2 linked regions of the Arabidopsis thaliana genome follow. The protein of the gene in region 1 interacts with the protein of each later gene in a pairwise test. Each region holds a gene or a part of one and is shown in the gene's direction. Other genes may lie near its edges. The genes, in order: PAR2 and PRE1.

Region 1 (9,992 bases):
GACCACATCGATGGAGACAAACCTCACCACCGTTGACGGCGAAGAGTAACGAGCTCACTCCTGAACCATCGTATAAAGACTTTGGCCTGCGATGAAGAACACTACCCAGAAAACTAAATCTAGATCTAGAAAATTTTCTTCAAGAGAGAGAGAAAAGCTCTTGAAACGAGGCAACGATTGTGCCTTTCTTAGAAAAGCTCTCGTGTATTGATTTTATCTTCACAGTTTTCTTTCTTTCTTTCTTTTCATGCGAGTTTTGCTTGCATTTATAGGTTTAAGTGAGATCATCAAGTAAATATAACAAAACATTTTAGCTATGACTTGTACAACGTAATTCATCATGAGAATTTCATTTTGGCAAGTAGTAATTCATCATATGATCATCATGAATATAGATCATGGTTACGATATTTACGAATGCTAAACCCTTCTGAATTCAACGCATCTCTAATGGTACAAAGAAAACATTTCTAAAATTTATGAGCTTTATCATACTGAATTGTATATTATCCGTTTTCCGAAAATTTAATAAAATTACGAAATATTGGGTGCAAAAATATGCGTATGCTTTTCCCTCAAATCTGAAAGTTTTGAACTTTGTTCTTCATAACGTGGTAGGTACTCCATATCAACTCAAATCTTCTTTATGGCCATTTATTGGGAGATTCAGTAATCCCCCCTAATTTAGGGTTCCCCAAATCAAATCAATCGTCATTGATTTAGCAATTGCGTATATGTGATTTTTCTGCTATAATTTAGGGATTTTAATTTGCTTCTTGTTTGAATTAAATCGCTCTGTTCCTTTCTCAGTTTTTAGATCCTAGAATATTACTGTTTGGTACTGATGTATGCTTGATTTTTCTATTGCTTAGGAGATTTGTGTAGACAATGGACTCGGAGAAGATGGATCTCTTCAGCAAGTTACCGGACGAGGTTATTTCTCATATCTTGTCATCCCTTCCAACCAAAGAGGCTGCTTCAACATCGGTTCTCGCAAAGAAGTGGCGTTATCTGTTTGCGTTTGTCCCAAGTCTCGATTTCAATGACTCTGATTTTCTTCATCCCCAAGAGGGTAAACGGGAAAAGGACGGAATTCTTCGGAGTTTCATGGATTTCGTGGATAGGGTTTTGGCATTGCAGGGCGCTTCTCCCATTAAGAAATTCTCCCTAAATGTTAAAACTGGTGTTGATCCTGACCGTGTGGATCGTTGGATATGTAATGTGTTGCAACGCGGTGTTTCTCACCTTGCTCTATTCATGGATTTCGAAGAAGAATATTCGCTGCCTTACGAGATATCTGTGAGTAAGACATTAGTTGAGCTAAAAACAGGATATGGAGTTGATCTTTATTTGTGGGACGATGACATGTTCTTACCGATGCTTAAGACTCTTGTTCTTGAATCAGTTGAGTTTGGTAGGGGTCAGTTTCAGACACTTCTTCCTGCTTGTCCTGTCCTTGAGGAATTAATGCTGCTTAATATGGAGTGGAAGGATAGGAATGTGATCTTGTCAAGTTCAAGCCTTAAGAACCTTAAGATTACCTCCGAAGACGGCTGTTTAGGCACTTTGTCATTCGATACACCGAATCTTGTTTTCTTAGACTACTATGATTACGTTGCAGAGGATTATCCAATAGTAAACTTGAAAAACTTAGTTGAGGTTGGGATCAACCTTGTTCTTACTGCAGATCGAATCAATCGAGCAAGAGATAATGTGTGGAACCTAATTCATGGAATACAAAACGCTGAGATCTTTCACATATCCCCTGTTACTTTCGAGGTAAGTTTCCTATGTAACACTTATTTCAGCTAGTTTTTTTGTAAGAAGGAAAGCCGAAGATCATTGTCTCAATTCGTGGAGTACTGTATAACAATGTTTCTTGATTCAGGTGCTCTCTCTTTCCTGTGAAGCCATGCCGGTTTTTAAAAACCTTACCACTTTAAATATTAGGACTGTGATGCAGCAAGGATGGCAAGCAATGCCACTTCTTCTAAAGAACTGTCCAAATTTGGAAACTCTGTACCTTGGGGTATAAAACACCAAAACATTTTTCTTAGTTTCCCCGCTTTGGACTTTGGAAATCGCTTATAGTCTCCTTTATGCTTTTTCAGGGACTCTTGCACACTGTCACGAATAAATGCGGGGATGTTTGTGACTGCATTCCTAGAAAGAAGAAAGGGCGCTCGCTCATGGCTTGCCCTGTGAATAAGATACAGATTCAAGGATTTAGAGGAACAATCAGAGAGGTGCACATGATAAAGCATTTCTTGGACTTTTGTCCGAGTTTGAAGGAGATGGAGATAATTGTCGAAACAAAGGAACCTACTCTGTTTGAAATCCCTAAATGGCTTGAAATTGTCGAGGATACGCTGATGCAATACAACGAGATGTCGAGTTGCACTATTAATTACAGGGTGCTGGCTCCCTTGTACTGGAGGTGGACTCGAAAATGAAGTCTTGGAGGATGAAACTTGCTTTCGTTGTTTCTCTTTTTAGTTTTTTTTTTATTCTGCTTAAGTACGATTTGATTCATGTACTAGACAGAACCATTCCTGCTTCTCTACAATTTCAAAATTTTACGTTTTCACAATCTTTAGCTTTTAATAGGAGAATGCTCTACGCACGAACTTTTTATCTTTTTAATAGGAGAATGATCAAGTGTTATGGGAAAACTAAGTAATGCTTGAAGTACAAACTTTTGTTCTTTCCTAGTTGAATAATTAATGACTCTCTTTGGTTACAATACCTCTGTTTTCTAGTGTTTTATCGTTTGGACGTGAATCAGAATACTAGTATATGTTCTAGTATGTCAAAAATGTATACTAATACCAAAATTGGCTTTGATCGCTCGGAACAAATACATATCGTATGTTTCAAACCTGTTAGTACAAAAATATCACCGACACAAACTGTTACGTGTTTTTTTTTATAGAAAAAATTGTTTTGTTTCTGCTGTGGACAAACAACTTTGTTGTAGCCATACTTACCTGGTGACAGATAGGATGAGAATATGCGATCGTTGCACATGCACATGATGATGATCTTTATGATGAAATCACTTATGATGTTGATGATATTCTCATGGCAGATCCGACGCATGTGGGCTGTGGCAGTGGATCGCCCATGTCACGAGCATTACTTTGTTTTCTTCTTCCGGAGTCAATTAAAAACAAAATCTGCACTATACACTTAAATCTATTCTACATCAAAGAAAACCATATTTAATGTTCTTGTATAATGTGTGTAGTAGACCTTTTGTAGAATTTGCTTTTGTTTTGTTTATGTGAGCTAATACAGCAACAATTAACATCTGAAGAACGAATACATCCAAACACGTTCTCTTTTGGAATTAGTGATTTGCGTCTTTACCGTATCTAACCAAATCTGGTCCTCATTGACTATTCAAAAACGAATTAATTTCTGAAATAATGTCATTATCTCCAAGTTCCAGTGGACATTTGGACACTTCAAAATGCAATTTTAGTTTTTTAAAATAGTAATTTTATAGAGTTGTTAATCATTTTGTAATATGAGAAGATCAAAATATTTGTTTTTGATGACGATTATAACATTACAAGGTTTCCATCGGAGCTTATAAGATGTTTTGATCGTGGTGTGGGTTTAAAAATTCAGAAATAATATGAACATATGATTCTATTCATGCTAGAAGAAAAAAAAAAAAAATCGGATTTACAGACAATGTATGATGCAGATGGGATCCACACCCATGTAACCATTGTCCCAAAAGATCAACCGTCGTATTGGGTCTACTTGGTTGGCCCATATTTCTCACCCACAAAATGAGAAGACAAATAATCTGCAACTAATAAAACCATAACATATCATTTGTCTTTTGTCCTCTTCATCTTACTTTCTTTTCCATTCTTCCCCTCAAAAAAGACCAATGATCTCATCTCTCAACACCATTTCTTGTTTTAACAACGCACATTAACTAACCCCATTGATGTGACTATTAATTTAGATGACCAAAAAACATTTACTATAAAAACAGAAAAAATGTTTGATCAAAAAAATAAATAAAAAAAGAAGACAGAAAAGGTTGCGGTTGAATAATGATTAACCAATGCTAATAGAAGAGAGCTTTGGCTATGTAGAGCTTTGGCTATGTAGATCTTTTTAGGGTCGATTATTGATGCAAGTTTGTGTACATATTGATATAAATATCGTATTAACCCACCAATATAAAGACTAGAATTGGCGTAAGTGTCAGGTTGGTCGATGGTGAAAGAAACCAATACTGATAATCTCAATCCCAAGAAACCAACCCCCTCTCCGTTCCCTCCTTGGAAACATCACCTACCCTCGATTTTTTCTCTTGTAGTATATATTATCAAATTAATTGTTAAGTTATTAATATAGTTATAATTGTAAACTTCGATATAATAACATTAGATTTATGATGGTGAGGGAACTTCTTAAGTAACTAGTAATCTAGTATAACTATTTAGTAAATACGGAGTGTTACTATATCCATAGAATAAGAATAACAAAATAAGTAGTTAAACTTAAAAATTAAAATATAGCCTTGTGTTGAAAAAAATAAAAAAGAGGATGAACTCGAGTGAATTGTGCAAAGATTAATGCCGACATGAGGACGACTTTTCTCTATTCTCCTTTTTTTTTTGTTTTAAATGGTTTCTCTATAATAAACACTTCCTTGGAAATTCTTGGAAATAGTGAAAAAAAAGGGAGTTGACAAAAGATTTAGGGATAGAATAGTAGGAAATGAAAAGGTAGGTTCCATAAAAGATGTCACGTGGCTCCCATGCGAGATGGAAAATCATGTGGATCTTCTTCTGTGCAACTGCAACTAGTTAAGTAGATCATCATGGTACCAGTACCACCACCACTTCACTATCTACAACTGTATCTCTCTATTAATTCATTCCTCTCCCTATTATAAAGAGAGAGAGAGAGAGAGAGAGAGAGAGAGAGAGAGAGAGAGAGAGAGAGAGAGAGAGAGAGAGAGAGAGTGTATCATAATGTGTGTGGAAGTAAGAAAGAGAGGCACATGCGAGCTAATATTAAGATAGATGGAGAAACTCATGTGAGCACATGTGCTTTCCTTTTCTCTTTTCCTTTTTTACGGAGCTTTTGTGGCTCCCATCTCCTCTGCTCCCATGCACCTGTCGCAGGTGATTCCTCTCCTCCCTTCTTCTAACGTGCGAGAGAGAGAGAGTATGTGGGATTAGCTCTTTAATTTGTGATTAGTAATATACCATTCTTAACTAGATTTAAGTCAAGCTGAGCTCAAGTTTGAAACTTGAAATGTTAATTATGTAACCTAATATGATAATCAAATCAATATATAAGTTACAAGTTAAGATTGATTGTTTTCTTAATCTCACATTCTAAGGTCCATGCATCATCTTATATCTTCAACACATTTTTTAAAAAATCGCCTGATCCAAAAAAAATATGGATTATATAAGAGAATGGTCAAGCTAACTCTAATACATATTTTCATTCATTTTTGGTTTGAAATCTGGATGAAGAGCATGTATTGCATTTGTCGTATGCATGCATAATTAAGTTGTAAGATACAAATAACTAGCTTATCTTTATGGTGAAATATTGATTCAAACACATCATTAATGTTTCCGAAAAGAATACAAAACAAAGACCCACAAGTCAAAGTCTGGGTTAAGTTTTAAACACATGTCGATAACTCTATTATTACTAAACTAAGCATGTTACAAATTTGTTAATGACACGCATATTTTCAATTATGTATTAAACTTTTGTGATGTATAGTGTTTTAAAAGACAAATAAAGATACAATCTATCTATCTGTCAGGACCTCAGGGAGATCCACTTGAGTAAAGTGACGTCTCCACTAAACCACACAACATAGCGCGTGACAATCACGATCCAAAATCTCTCTTAATAAATAAACCAACAAAACAAACACTCCAACACATAATTCGAAACACTCAAGAACAAAAAAAGAAAAGAAAATCACAACTGGACCCAGCTTTGATGGCATACCGGCATTACCCAATTTCCAAAATTATAGCCAAACCCCAAACCTAAATCGCACAACCAAAACATAGTACTAAACTAAAGTCTTAACCAAACGCACTAAGATTCAGCTCATAATCAAATCATTAAAGGCAAACAAGAGTAAACCAAAGTAAAACGAACCGGAATGACTTTAACCGGTCCTACTTCAATCTACTAATTCACATCACTCATATAAATACACACAGGTCTCTTTACTCCTTTTCTTCCAACACATCTTCTCTCCCTCCGTCAATGGAGAAAACCCTAGCCACTTCCCATACCAAACGCTCTTCTCCTCCGTCTCCATCCTCCGCCGTGAACACAAGCTCCACTGGTTTCAACCGCAGAACCAGACAGAGATTGTCCGATGCAACGGCGAGTGTAAGCGAGACCGACGTAGAAGATGAAGATGAAGATGAAGAAGGAGTGGAGGAGAAGATCGAGGCGCTTCAGACAATAGTTCCCGGAGGAACGGAACTTGGTGTCGACGCGCTGTTCGAAGAGACAGCTAGTTACATTTTGGCTCTGCAATGTCAGATCAATGCCATTAAAGTTCTTACTACGTTTCTTGAGCGTTGTGAGAAAAAAGATATGAAGTTTGGAGGTTGAAGATTGAACAAACAATTTAGAATTCTGAAAATCAGAAGAAAAAAAAAAACAATTTGGAATTCTCTCTGTTTTTTCATTTATTTTCACCTTATATTTTTTTTTTTTATATATTGCTGTTTAGTTCGGGTTCATAATTTAGTTCTTAAAAAAAAAACAATCTTATGTGTTTTTATTCCAAAATATTACGAGAAATGAAAATTTTATCTCCACAATTTCTCCTTTGATATCTCAAATTCATATAAGTAATATAAGTATATAACTTTCGGTGCTCCAGCCATTAGATTTGATAAAACACATGCCAATAAAATGAAAATAATTGACATTTACACCAAAAAATGAAAATGAAAATGGTATAAAATTTAACATTTAATTTACATCAAATAAAGAAGTGAAAAATAATTATTTTTTTCTTTATCTTTATATTTAGTCACCAATAATATTGTCAGAAAAAACATATAAACTCATGAAACAAGGAAGCCAAAAAAAGAACTCATCGAACAAAGAATAAACGAACAATAATAACTCTGCAAGCGATAATAGCAGACTTGGGTCTGATAGAGCGCATTACCAATAAGGTTCAAAAAAAACATATATAAAACTCATGAAACAAGGAAGACAAAATAGAACTCACCGAACAAGAATAATAATAACTCTGCAAGCAACGATTTGGGCCTGATGGAGCTTAACTACTAATGGACCTTAAGGCCCATATAACAGAGATCACTGAAAATGATGCAGCCAAGTGGACTTGCTTTAAACACGTGGGTATTCAGGACCGCCCAATTTCTCAACGCCATTTGTTGTCACTCACTCTGTAAAGTATAAACCCTAAAAATCGAATCTTTCCGATTAGCCGATCCCTCCACCGGAAAATCGGAAGGTAAACCTCAATAGAATTCTCTTACTATTTTTTTGTTATTCGTCATACCAGATTTTTCCGATTAACGAAATGTCATTATCATCATCATGATGATTGATGTGTGAGATTGCTGGGAAAAAGTCAGAGTGACTGATTCTTCTCTAAAGCATCAAACTTTACATTTTGTTGAGTTATTCGTGTTATTGAGTCTTAATTCTGTGTTGAATTTTCTCTAGTAGAAGCGTAAATGGCGGATGTTGAAGATCGTGCGGCGAAGGGGATCTCTGACTACGATCAAGGTGGTGTAAAGACGACGGAACTGGAAAGGAAGATTGAGGATATGGAGAACAAGAATCAGGAGCTCACGAGAGAGAATCGTGAATTGAAGGAGAGGTTAGAGAGGCTTACGGGAGAAATTGAAGAGATGAAAGACGTAGAAGCGGAGATGAATCAGAGATTCGGAGAGATGGAGAAAGAGATCGAGGAGTACGAGGAAGAGAAGAAGGCTTTGGAAGCTATTTCTACTAGAGCTGTGGAGCTTGAAACTGAGGTGTCGAATCTTCATGACGATCTGATCACTTCCTTGAACGGAGTGGATAAGACGGCGGAAGAAGTGGCGGAGCTGAAGAAAGCGTTGGCGGAGATAGTGGAGAAGCTGGAGGGGTGTGAGAAGGAAGCTGAGGGTTTAAGGAAAGATAGAGCTGAGGTTGAGAAGAGGGTTAGGGATTTGGAAAGGAAGATTGGGGTTTTGGAAGTGAGGGAAATGGAGGAGAAGAGTAAGAAACTTAGATCAGAAGAGGAAATGAGGGAGATAGATGATGAGAAAAAGAGAGAGATTGAGGAATTGCAGAAGACAGTCATTGTTTTGAATCTGGAATTGGTGAAGAATGTAGAAGAATTGAAGAAATGGAAGTCTAAGAAGAAGCTCACGGAGGAAGCTTTGAGTGAAACTCAAAAACGAGAGAAGGAGCTGGAGTTGAAGAAGGACGAGTTACTGAAGAAGGTTGAGGAAGGTAACAAGACGGTTTTTGCTTTGAATGAGAGAACCATGAAGCCTAGTAATGGAGTCAGAGACACAAATGGTGGTGACCAAAAGGGTTCCTTGGAAGCTGAGTATCAGTGGCCAGTGGTTGCTGCTGGATCAGTTGGAGCTGCTGGTTTGGTTGCAGCGACCTTTTTCGTCTGCTATTCTAAGCTAAGGTGATTTTGATGAATATGTTAGTGAAAGAATAACTGATGACCAAGTTCTTAAGATTGATATCTGGGATGGAATTATATAGGTTGGCTACAAATTTGTTTTGGGTTTGGATTTGAGTTTGTGATGTTTGTTGGTTGTTGGCTATCATACTTTTGTTGATGAGATCAGCATTTGGTAACTGTTCTTTATCACTTCTACTCTGTCTTAAGATTGATTTCAGGAATGGATTTACACAGGTTTGCCACAAATTTCTTTGGGTTTGGATTTGAGTTTGTTATGTTTGTTGGTAGTTTGGCTAGCATGGTTTTGTGAATGGGAACAGATAAAAACTTCACCTTATAATATGCCACAAAATGCATTTCGGAACCGTTCGTCATCACTTCTTCTTGTCTTCTATTTACTGGATTTTAAGAGAAACATGATTCAAACAGAATTGCTTGGCCAGTATAGTTCTTTATCCTAAGTCCACGAGTACTAACTTTACATTAGAACCGTTTTAAAATTGCTTCTTGGAAGAGCATATCAAGGGACCGTTTTTGGATTCAGATACTTCAAAATCTGCAACACGCATAGTGGATGGAGATGCCATGAAATGAATGTGTTGAAAGGTGACCATTTTAAGACAAGAGGGACACATGAGCAAAACATACAATTTGACTTGTCAATTTGTTAAGGTTAATTTGACTAGTGTCCGTTTATATTTTTGGAAATCAAAGCGTGTGGAAGGAAAAGAGTCATCATATTTTTCTAAAACAGCTCCAAGAAATCTGGAAATTCTCGATAAACAACTTACAACTACATTTTAGGGTCAATAAAAGTAAAACAACAATATTTATTATAAAGAAGGCTGAGATGCAGACCCCATCGATGGCTGCCTCCACTACTTCCTACTACCCAATCCCCAAAAGCTTCCTTCTTTCTCCTCCTCGTCACAAACGAAACCCTAATCTCATCTCCTGCTCCACCAAACCCATTTGCTCTCCTCCTCCTCCTTCGTCTTCTTCTTCGTCTCCTCTGCAAACGACGACAACCCATCGAAGCCAAAAGCAGAATCTGCGTCTACCCACGTTTGAAGATTCGTTTCTTCTTTACCAATTTAGCTCTCCCACCGAAGACCCAGGATTCTCTAACCGGATCCCGGAACAATTCGACGGAGAGCCACGCGAATTGGTGTTGCCGAGAGTAGAAGACAACAACAAAGGGTTGGCAATTTCGTCGAACATGTGGTGGGCAGATCTGAAAGCGGCTCTTGGGCAACGAATCAATATTGAGGGTATCGTTTCTTCGGTCTCCGTTGTTGTT
Region 2 (10,367 bases), on another chromosome or scaffold:
AAACACAAAAAGTATGTGTATTTGTTTCTTTAGTATTTTATATTATTACTTTAAAATGATCCAAGAAAAATGCAATTAAAATAAAAGTAACTAGATGTCAAAAAAAAAAACTAAAGTAACTAAAAAATAAGGACCGGTATACGAAAAGAATAATACTATACTAGGGATTCACGTTTTTATTTTAGTCCATCAAAGTATACCACCTAATAAAAATTAAATCCTAATCAATATTCTTTAAATTCAAATCGATATATAATTTTATTTAATATAAAATCTAAACTTTAATTCTCATTTGTAAACTTAAACCGACATTCAAGCTCGTTTAATTGTAAAACCTAAACTTTAACTATACTTTCTAAACTTAACTGATATTTAACCTCGTTTACTTATAAATCTAAATCTATTTATAAATTCAAACTGATATTTAACCTCGTTTAATTGTAAAATTTAAATCCGTTTATAAATCCAAACTGATATTTAACCTCGTCTAATCATAAAATCTAAACCTTACCCATTTCTTATAAACCCAAATTATTATATAATTTCGATTTATTAACAACTTATATTTTATAATCAAATTTTTTTTTTTTAATTATATAACAGATTGTGATTGGCTTGAATAAAAGAGGGTAAATTAAAAGGTTCACCCTAACCCAAGTATTTTTCTAAGACGAAGAAACATCTTTTATATAAAGTCTAAGGGGGAGGTATTGGATGAGAGAATTTAATAGAATAGAATTGAAGACATAAATTATAGATTTTCAAGTATTGTAAAAGATTTTCAAATCTTTCTTTTCAATTCTAACAATTTATTTTGCAGTATTTTCCTAGAATTAAAAAGATATCAATGAATTACTATAGAATTATTGTTCTACGTTGCTCTCTATCACCCACCATGTCCAAACCCTAAAAATCCCAGAAACGACCAACATCTCTTCTACCCAGAAATGACCTACGTTGACATTTATGGAATTCTATCAAACTTATGGAAGAGATCCCTATTTTAACACCAACGACAATGTCATCACCACCATTTATTTCCTCTTTGTCTCTCTCTCTCTCTCGATTTACACACTCTCCCCCTCAATATAATCTAATGGATGATGATCTGACGAGCAATTAGCCGGATCATGAGATCACAAATTGTAGATGTGTTAGATTAATAACACTCTCCCTCAGATTTGAGAAAAGCATATGAAGGAGAAAAGTAGACGATGAATTTTGGATGTGTTGAAATATTCTATCAAAATCTCAACTCAAAACCAGAGAATTTGTTCTTCACATTTTAAACTAAATTTTCTATTAAATTCCTGTCAAGTAACGATGGCATACAATTTCAACATAAACTTGAATAACAATTGCAATTAATAGAATTAAGAAATGAGTAAGTTTAATAACACAAGAGTTTAAAAGAATTTGTAAAATCTCTACTTGAATAACACCAGAATTTATGATTCTATTAAATTCTATCAAACTCATGCGTCCAATACCCCCTCTTAAACGATTTCAAATAAGATATCCTTTTCTTATTTATGATTATCAGATTATGTAAACAACATACGTAATTTTCCCCACCACATTTGTAGAGTGATGTAATTCCCGATCTAAGGTAAGACTAAAACAATATAATGAATAGATTTAGTTAGATAGTAAAGCTTTTTTGCTGTTGATGAGCATGAGGCTCATTGTTTTGGAGAAGCCTATGCAAAGCATGATTGTGTAATAATTATGAGAGAAAAATGGTTAAAGGGGACCATGAAATATATATTGGTCTATACCTGGACCATAATGTGTTACGTATTCCTTATTATTAAGAGTTGATACCTACTATTGAAAAATATACGAGTGAAAAATCCAGATCTTCGTGTAGATATATCATTTAAATTCCTTTTTTTAACTAGATAAATATACCAAAGTAAAAAATTTATTTACTATTGAAGTCTTTTCTTTTAATAAATTAGAGTCACTCAGTAAAAATGATTTTTTTCTTAACTAGATAAATATATCAAAATAAAAAAACTTTATTACCATTGAAGTATTTTCTTTTAATAAATTGGAGTCACTCCGTAAAAATGATCCTTAACTTAATTGTAAAGTATTTAATTTAACTTAATTGTTGGTTTTGCCATTTTTTGAATAGTTTGTAGATTTTGTATATTTTAAGACAACAAAAATGTGATTTAAGATGCGTTTTACTCGTTTGGATTTAATCATTTTAATTTATATAAAAGACATATTTTTGCAAAAACAATTCGTAATATGTACACTTAAGTGTTAAAAAATGGCAGAATTCGTAAACTATTCAAAATATTATTGTTAGATTTTTTTTTTAAACGGCATTTTAGACAAGAATCCCTATTTACCTAGAGTCTTCAATTTGAATTTAGAAAATATGGAATTAAATTTAATGTACTTTCTTAATGATACTTACTGTAAATAGATAGAATTACATAGATGTATCAGTATCTTCTTAATTGCCATTGTAGTAACACGGCAAAAGTCTACCGTTTTACGTGTGTGCACACACACTACACAATCTGTCGATGCTTTGTTTGTGATGTGATTATGTGAATATATGATGGCGAAACAATTCTTATCAAGGGACATGTTATCCGTGGAATTTGTTCGACATTTCCAGCGTAATTCGAATACTCATGCTAAATCCAGAGAAACATTTCGCAGTTATAAATATAATTGTTGGACATCTTATGTGTGTTGTATATTTCGACCTGATCAAATATTTATAAATATAATTGAATAATTCAAATCTTTGAACATAGAATCGAAGATGCCGTTTTGACGACTTTTTCAATGTTTTTTTTTAATTGTTATTTTATTCACTGCGAAGATATGATTGGTGCCATTAATGCATATTATCGTACTATAGTGTTTTTGTAATTCATTGGAAAAAAAAAAAATTGCTCAACTTTTCCAAAGTGAGTTTTTATAAATTACTTATTTAACGAGTCCTTCATTTCCACATGATTACTCGTGTTTTTTACAACATGTTTGTAAAGATGTGAATTAATTGCGAAAAAGTAGACACAAAAACATTGTGGAGCCTATGAGACCAAACATTTAGTACCCGAACCCACATGGACTAACATGTAAAATCTCCCTTTGCAATTTATTAGAATGGTCACTTTCTTTAATAATCTTGTATATATAAAACACACACACACACACCAACACACTTTTATATATATTCTTGTATTCACACATATAAGAAAAATTGATAAATGTTTTCTTTAATTATGTGCTTTATTAAAAAATTGTATGAATTAATGTTCTCGTTGAATTTTTGTGGTGGATAGATCATTGACATATATATGGTGTACTTACTATACTGTTGTCATTCTCTTGAATTATAAGTGTGAATTTCATGTCGGATGATATCGGTTAGAGTAATGAAATGTTTGGCTATATAACAAGCACAACGATGGAGAAAATAATTTTCTTATATATTTAGTATATATTGAGCAAAAAGTACTTTTAATAAGTAACGTAACGTAACATTGATTTCGTTAACTATGAATATAATCCGATCCATGTCATGCAAACCTGTCGGAAGAGAACCATTCTCACTTATATTTTCTTGTTGGTGAGAATATATTAAACTGTTATTGAATTACTAATGAAATAGAATGTTGTGATAAATTAATACACCACACAAACGAAATATTTTGAGGGATAATGAGGGATTTCGAAATTTATATAACCTTTCATAATAATAATAATATGTTCAAACAGATAATTGTATTCGACTGTTACATACTTGTCGGATCTTTATTGATAATGTTATTGGACAACAAGATATCTAAAATTTTGATCTTATGGACCCGAGGGCAGCATGTAACACGAGACATGGTGGTGACACGTGACATAGTCGATGTTTTGTGAACATTTATATAAATTAATACTCAACCAATAATGGACCAATCGAACAATTAAATTAAGTTATATGAGACATGCGATTTTATTCACTTCAAAATAAAAAAATTCTTTAAATAAATTATTTTAGGCAAAGTGTAAGTGTGCGAAGAAGTTTGAAATAAATGGTCTGAACGAAGTTTTAAAGCCGATAGATACGTTTCTTTTAAGCATTTGGTTTCCTTTTCACGTTTTATAAAAGAATTAATTATGGATTTACCATTTTTTGAATGATATTTATGGATTTTGTCATTTTTTAAATAATTTGTGGATTTTGCTCTTTTTCAGTCTAAAAAATGAAATTTAGCATAGCTTTTATTCGTTATATTAAGGTTTAGTCGAGTTTTTTTTTTGTTTTTTAAGTTTAGCATTTAATATAAAATACTTATTTTTGTAAAAATAATATCGTAAATACGTACATTTATAAGTACTAAAATGACAATTTCGTAAAATTTTAGTAAAAATGACTTTTTCAAAAGATTTTGATGAAAACGGCAAAATCAACAATAATCCTTTTATAGAAAATATTTGTTTTATATCTACTATTTTTAAGTTACATTGACATTCTATAATTTTTTAAAAGTTATCACACGAAATATTTTACATATGAGGTGAAACTATTTATGGCTTAGCAGTTAGAAAACAATGTTCCATAGGAGTCAATAATTAGGCTTCTTCCTTTCTAAAACAAATGTAGTTAGTATGGAAGATAGAATTTACATAATTCTCTCTATGCTTTTTTATACAAGTTTGGAACTATATATTTTATACAAGTTTAAAATATATAGTTTGGTAATATACAAGATTTACAGATAAATATACAAACTGTACCTAGATATTGTGGAATACAAATTTAGAGAGACAATTTAGGCGATAATACTAGTTCTAATATTAGAAGAAAAAAAATTGAATGAAAAGTCATGTCATCACATGGTAGTTGCCTTTTTGTGAAATTGCAGATGAAGGGCCACAATGTTAGATGAACATGAAACACTTATCTTGACCTTCATCAACCCCATCTTTGGGAACTTTTCGTTTCCTCCATTTAACTATTCAAATCTCCTCCAATTATTCAAAAAATTTAGTACCCATTTATTTATCCACTCTATAGGAATTATACTGTAAAATTTTCAATAACTAAGCATATGTATATTTGTGATCCATTCTAGTCATAATCATTTTCTTTTTTTTTGGATAGTTGAGGCATAAAAAGTTGGGGTTTTGGTAAAACAAATCCTAAGAGAAATCTATTTTTGTAATTTTACCCTCTACTTCTAAAATATGCAGAATAATCATAAAAAAACAAAAATAATACGCAATATATTCCTTATACATATATTGTAAACGTATTCACGATCACATACATTTTAAAAAATCTAAATTAAAGAAGAGTTGAACTCTTTGTCTCGAGGGCTTCGATTTGATATAATACTTCTCAATTTTTTTAAAACTTGACGAAATCTGACAATAGCAAAAAATGTTATATTGCGTAGTATTTTTCACTTTGTAAAATTATTCTATATTTTCTGAAAGTAGAAATGGACGATTTCAAGACTTATTTTCCACAAAATCCTAAAAAGTTACGAATCTTGAAACTTGTGTATCATTTGAACTATACACAATAACTAACTAACCATGATTGAAAACGTTGTGAAATAATTCAATCCCGCCATTACCTTCGTATAATGATTGGTAATAGTCTCGACTGATGATATGTATATATACGGCTTGGAAATCTGTAATAAAAAATGATTTCGAAGTTTTGTGGTTTAAGGGCATTCAATCTATCGCTTTCTTCTCCCGTGACATCATTGTCGAGGTTTATTGCTGCTCTCCGTCGCTCTCTCTCTCTTGTGGTCCATTGGCCTATTTAAATCTCTCTTATCACATTCTCAATTTCTTTATATTTGAAGTGTATTCAAAACCCCAAAACACTTTTCTCATTCTCTTCTCTATTTTCTTCTTGCTCTCTAGTTTTTCTTTCTTCTTGGTCGTTTCCTTTCAGCATAAAAACCTTATAAAATCATAAAAGCTTACACCTACTTGCCACATAGACATAGCCGATCTCATTATATCTCTATTTCTATTTCTCAATAGAACTTGTTTGAGCTAGTGTGAGAGAAGTAAAGAAAGAGAGAAGAATCCACAACTTAGTTAGGGTCTTTTCTTGCCACATTGTTGAACATGTCGAACAGAAGATCAAGGCAATCTTCAAGTGCTCCAAGGATCTCCGATAATCAAATGATTGACCTCGTATCTAAGCTCCGTCAAATTTTGCCGGAGATTGGTCAACGACGTCGTTCTGATAAGGTATCACGCATAATATATGCATATATTCATTTATAACGACCATTTAACATTATCCATCGTGTAAACCTATCCAAAAAAGGAAAGAACAAAAGTTTTGTAAAAAGAAGAGTGGACACTAAAATCAAACAAGAAAGAAAAAAGAAGTCGGAACTTTTGACTCCGGACATTAAGGAACATATATACCAATATTCACAACCTTTTTCTTCCATATTTACATAAGAGATTACATCAAAATCATCAGCTTGCATGCATCTGCAAACGCATAAAAGCGCATGCATTGGTTCAAAAAACATATATTATAATGATTATGATTTTATTTCGTTTTTGTTGTTGAAGGCATCAGCCTCGAAAGTATTGCAAGAGACATGCAATTACATACGAAATTTGAACAGAGAAGTTGACAATCTGAGCGAGCGTTTGTCTCAGCTTCTCGAATCTGTCGATGAAGATAGCCCTGAAGCCGCCGTTATTAGAAGCCTACTCATGTAATCTTTTTTGTTCTTTTGTTTGTTTTTGACAAGCCTATCCATGTAATCTTAAATGATCGCTCTATAATAATTATATTTTTAACATAATCGTCTTATTATGTAAAATTCAAAGAGATGGGCTTGATCTTTAATGACATACGAATTTCATAGGGTTAATTCCATAGTCAAAAGTCTCCGACATATATGTGTGTAGCAGAACTGCACGAGCATTGCCTTAGCAGGTGCATTATTAAAATAAACCAGTGGGATGAAATTTGGTGGAGAAGAATCTTTCTTTTTTTCTCCCTAACAAAGAAAAAAAAAACAGAGATTGTGATGTCTGAACTCGATTGTGTCAGTCAAGGACAGTAAAATTGCGAGAGGACATTGTTAGTTGCGAGCATTTAATTTTATACGGAATAAAAAAAGTTATTTGGCACATTGTTTTTGAGGTAACAAATCATCTAAACCTCAAAATAGAGATAAAAAGCAAAAATAGAAATAGAAGACAAAATCAAATAAACTCTTAGCCATTTTGGAGGGGAAAAGAAACCCCATCTTAACTGTCACAAAAACGTTTATACACATCTAAAGGAAAGTTTTGCCTTTTAGGACGTCCACACAAAGAAATTAAATAAAAATCAACGTTATAGTTTTATTTGATATCTCATAATTCTACATGCATGTAGTTTAAAGTTTAAACACACGTATACGCATATTGATATACATGCACCCATGTACATACATTTAGACAAGTTTGGTCCTTTCAAGGCGTAGGAGACTGGTCAAATCTATCACTCCTAATTTTAAGCCATATAGCTATACCGGTTTGGTCCTTTCAGGGTTTAGGAGACTGGTCAAATCCGACTCCTAATTTTAAGCCATATAGCTATAAAAATAATCACAAGAAGAATTACATGAAAAAGGAGAGCATTCAGAGACTAGCTTTGTTACACTCTTCCACCTAAAACGATCTTAATTTTTTTTTCTTGTTACATAGATACAATTTTCAGGTCTTGTACCCTTTTTGAATTATTATTGTAAAATTTTGAGATATACTAAATAGAATAATTAAATAGCGGAAACGATTTAAACAATAGAGCAATAACGAAACGACACAATATTTAACAAGGTATCGGTTGGTTCTCTTTCAAACCAACCACTAGTCCTCGGCTGCAACAAAAGTTTATTAGATCACTTCAAGAAGTAAAAGATATACTTAGAATTTCTACAGTAAATTCAAATACATCTGTATCTAAGAACATGAACTAAGGTTAACAAGTAAACTCATTTTACTTCCCTTTAATCATGTATGAATTCTTCTTGGAGAAGTCTTTCCAAGGTGATCTCTCCCCAAACTCCACAGCGACACAAGTTTCACACAAACTTATCAAACACTCTGTTTTCTATTTCTCTGTTTTAACAGCAATCTTTTGTATCTTGAAAATTGGAGATGATGCTTGCAACACGTTGTCCTTATCCACCACAAAAGCAGAGTATATATATGAATATGACTCTTACAGAGAGCATCAAGGAAACAATTTGGATAAAAAGATTGCTATAATAATTGGTTCTTTGCAATCAAAATATGAAGTGAACTGTGACAGTCCAAGAGCTATATATGTTTGTCTAAAAATATGAAACGGGAACATATAGAAGTTGAGCTACACTTCATAAGGGATATGACCAAGATTGGTACTCTCTGGTCAATCCTACTGACATATTGTGTAAGGACAAAGTTGTGTAATGACATCAGAAGCAGGTAAATGAATATTAGATGTAACCGTTTGTCGAGGTGGAGATTTGTTGATTATTTCAACCAAAGACTCAAGAAGCTTAGAGAGTGAAGCTTTGGTTATGGAGGTTTTAGCTAAGTTAGTGTAAACGTCATTAAGTTATGTTTTCTTTATAGTAAAACAGGCTAAAACAATATAAAATACAAATTACAGTACTCTGTTATGTTTTTTTTTTTTTAATCAATTTCCAAGATACTTCCTACACGGGGAAACAACTTTTAGAATCTTTCTCCCATAAATAAAGTTCCTTGCGAAACACGTCGTTGGACTACCGAGGTCCAATGGCCGAATAGGTTACTTCTGCCACAGTCCAAGATTCTTCGTTTCGCTTCTTTCGTGACGAGGAGGAACCAGTCTCAAGTTGACTTTTACGGACTAAATAACCAGGCGGTCCAGGCGGAGCGATCTCTATTGTGTCGCTTGCGAACATGACAGAGATTGATAGCATCGTGGGCCTATCCTCAGCACATTCTTGAACACACAAGAGACCAATCTGTATGTATCTTTTAACTTGGTGTTGTTGAAATGTTGATGAATCAAGGATAATTTGATCTATGATTTCGAGCCCTTTACCTTCCTTCCAATTCCTCCATATCTATTCATCATAAACAAAGCTTTAAGCGTTTATATCAATCACAATAAAAAATATAAAAAAAAGACGAAAATGCTTTGGATGATTATTACACTTACATATGTAATAAGACTTTCGTCGTTCTCCGAGTATCTATAAAAGTCTCTGTTTTTAACCCCAAATATAATCTCAAGAAGCAAGACTCCGAAGCTGAAAACATCTGACTTTGTTGAATAAATCCCTTCCTCCGCGTATTCCGGAGACATATAGCCGCTTTGTCAAGCAACAAGAAACACAATTGTGAGGTTTTGTAAAGTGTTTGCTTTATTTTCAAATGTAACGATGATAGTTTGTTTGCTTACTAAGTTCCGACGATCTTTGTTGTGTTAGCTGCTGTCGCACGCTTGTCGAAGAGTTTACTCATCCCAAAATCTGATATCTTCGGAACCATATCTTGGTCAAGTAAGACGTTGCTCGGTTTTAGGTCTCTATGGACAATAGGACGCCGCGAATCTTGGTGAAGATATAAAAGTCCCCGAGAGATTCCATTAATTATTTGGACCCTCTTCTCCCAGTTTAGCTTAGAGCTTTGGTTTTTGTCTAAGAAAATGTCACAACCAAAATCACATTAGTTTCTTTTCAATAACTCTTAATACAACTACTTAAACTGTGAGGCACTAACCGAATATATACTTATCGAGGCTGAGTTTTCCAAGTACTCATATATTAAAATCATCTCACCGATCATATGGACTCTCCGATCATTCGTGATAAACCATGGATAATTTTTGGAGATTTTAATGAAATTTTGGATATGGATGAGCACTCTCGAATGGAAGATCACCCAGCAGTTACCTCCGGTATGCGAGATTTTCAGTCTTTGGTGAACTACTGCTCATTCTCAGACTTGGCATCTCACGGGCCCTTTTTACTTGGTGCAATAAGAGAGATAATGACCCAATTTGGAAAAAACTGGATAGAGTTATGGTGAATGAGGCTTGGAAGATGGTCTACCCACAATCTTATAATGTTTTTGAAGCGGGAGGGTGTTCTGACCATTTACGGTGTCGTATCAATTTTAAATATGAACTCTGGTGCACAAGTGAGAGGAAATAAGCCTTTTAAGTTTGTGAATGCTGTGGCCGATATGGAGGAGTTTAAACCTTTGGTGGAAAATTTTTGGACAGAAACAGAGCCTATACACATGTCCACGTCGTCCCTGTTCCGGTTCACTAAGAAGCTCAAGGCTCTTAAACCAAAACTTCGAGGCTTGGCGAAGGAAAAAATGGGCAA

Evidence for each region.
Region 2: the proteins of PAR2 (region 1) and PRE1 interact in a two-hybrid assay, tested with the Arabidopsis thaliana proteins (one study listed by BioGRID).

What each region holds. Positions count from the first base shown.
Region 1 is NC_003074.8:21,756,203-21,766,194, reverse strand, and holds PAR2 (phy rapidly regulated 2), read left to right. Parts: upstream 1-5,804; 5' UTR 5,805-6,276; coding exon 6,277-6,633; 3' UTR 6,634-6,845; downstream 6,846-9,992. Other genes in the region: AT3G58860 (F-box/RNI-like superfamily protein), read left to right, coding at 889-1,779, 1,889-2,029, 2,112-2,453; PMD1 (Tropomyosin-like protein), read left to right, coding at 7,740-8,696; AT3G58830 (haloacid dehalogenase (HAD) superfamily protein), read left to right, coding at 9,543-9,992. UniProt on the Arabidopsis thaliana protein: Atypical bHLH transcription factor that acts as a negative regulator of a variety of shade avoidance syndrome (SAS) responses, including seedling elongation and photosynthetic pigment accumulation.
Region 2 is NC_003076.8:15,951,575-15,961,941, forward strand, and holds PRE1 (basic helix-loop-helix (bHLH) DNA-binding family protein), read left to right. Parts: upstream 1-5,793; 5' UTR 5,794-6,114; coding exon 6,115-6,240; intron 6,241-6,576; coding exon 6,577-6,729; 3' UTR 6,730-6,985; downstream 6,986-10,367. UniProt on the Arabidopsis thaliana protein: Atypical and probable non DNA-binding bHLH transcription factor that integrates multiple signaling pathways to regulate cell elongation and plant development.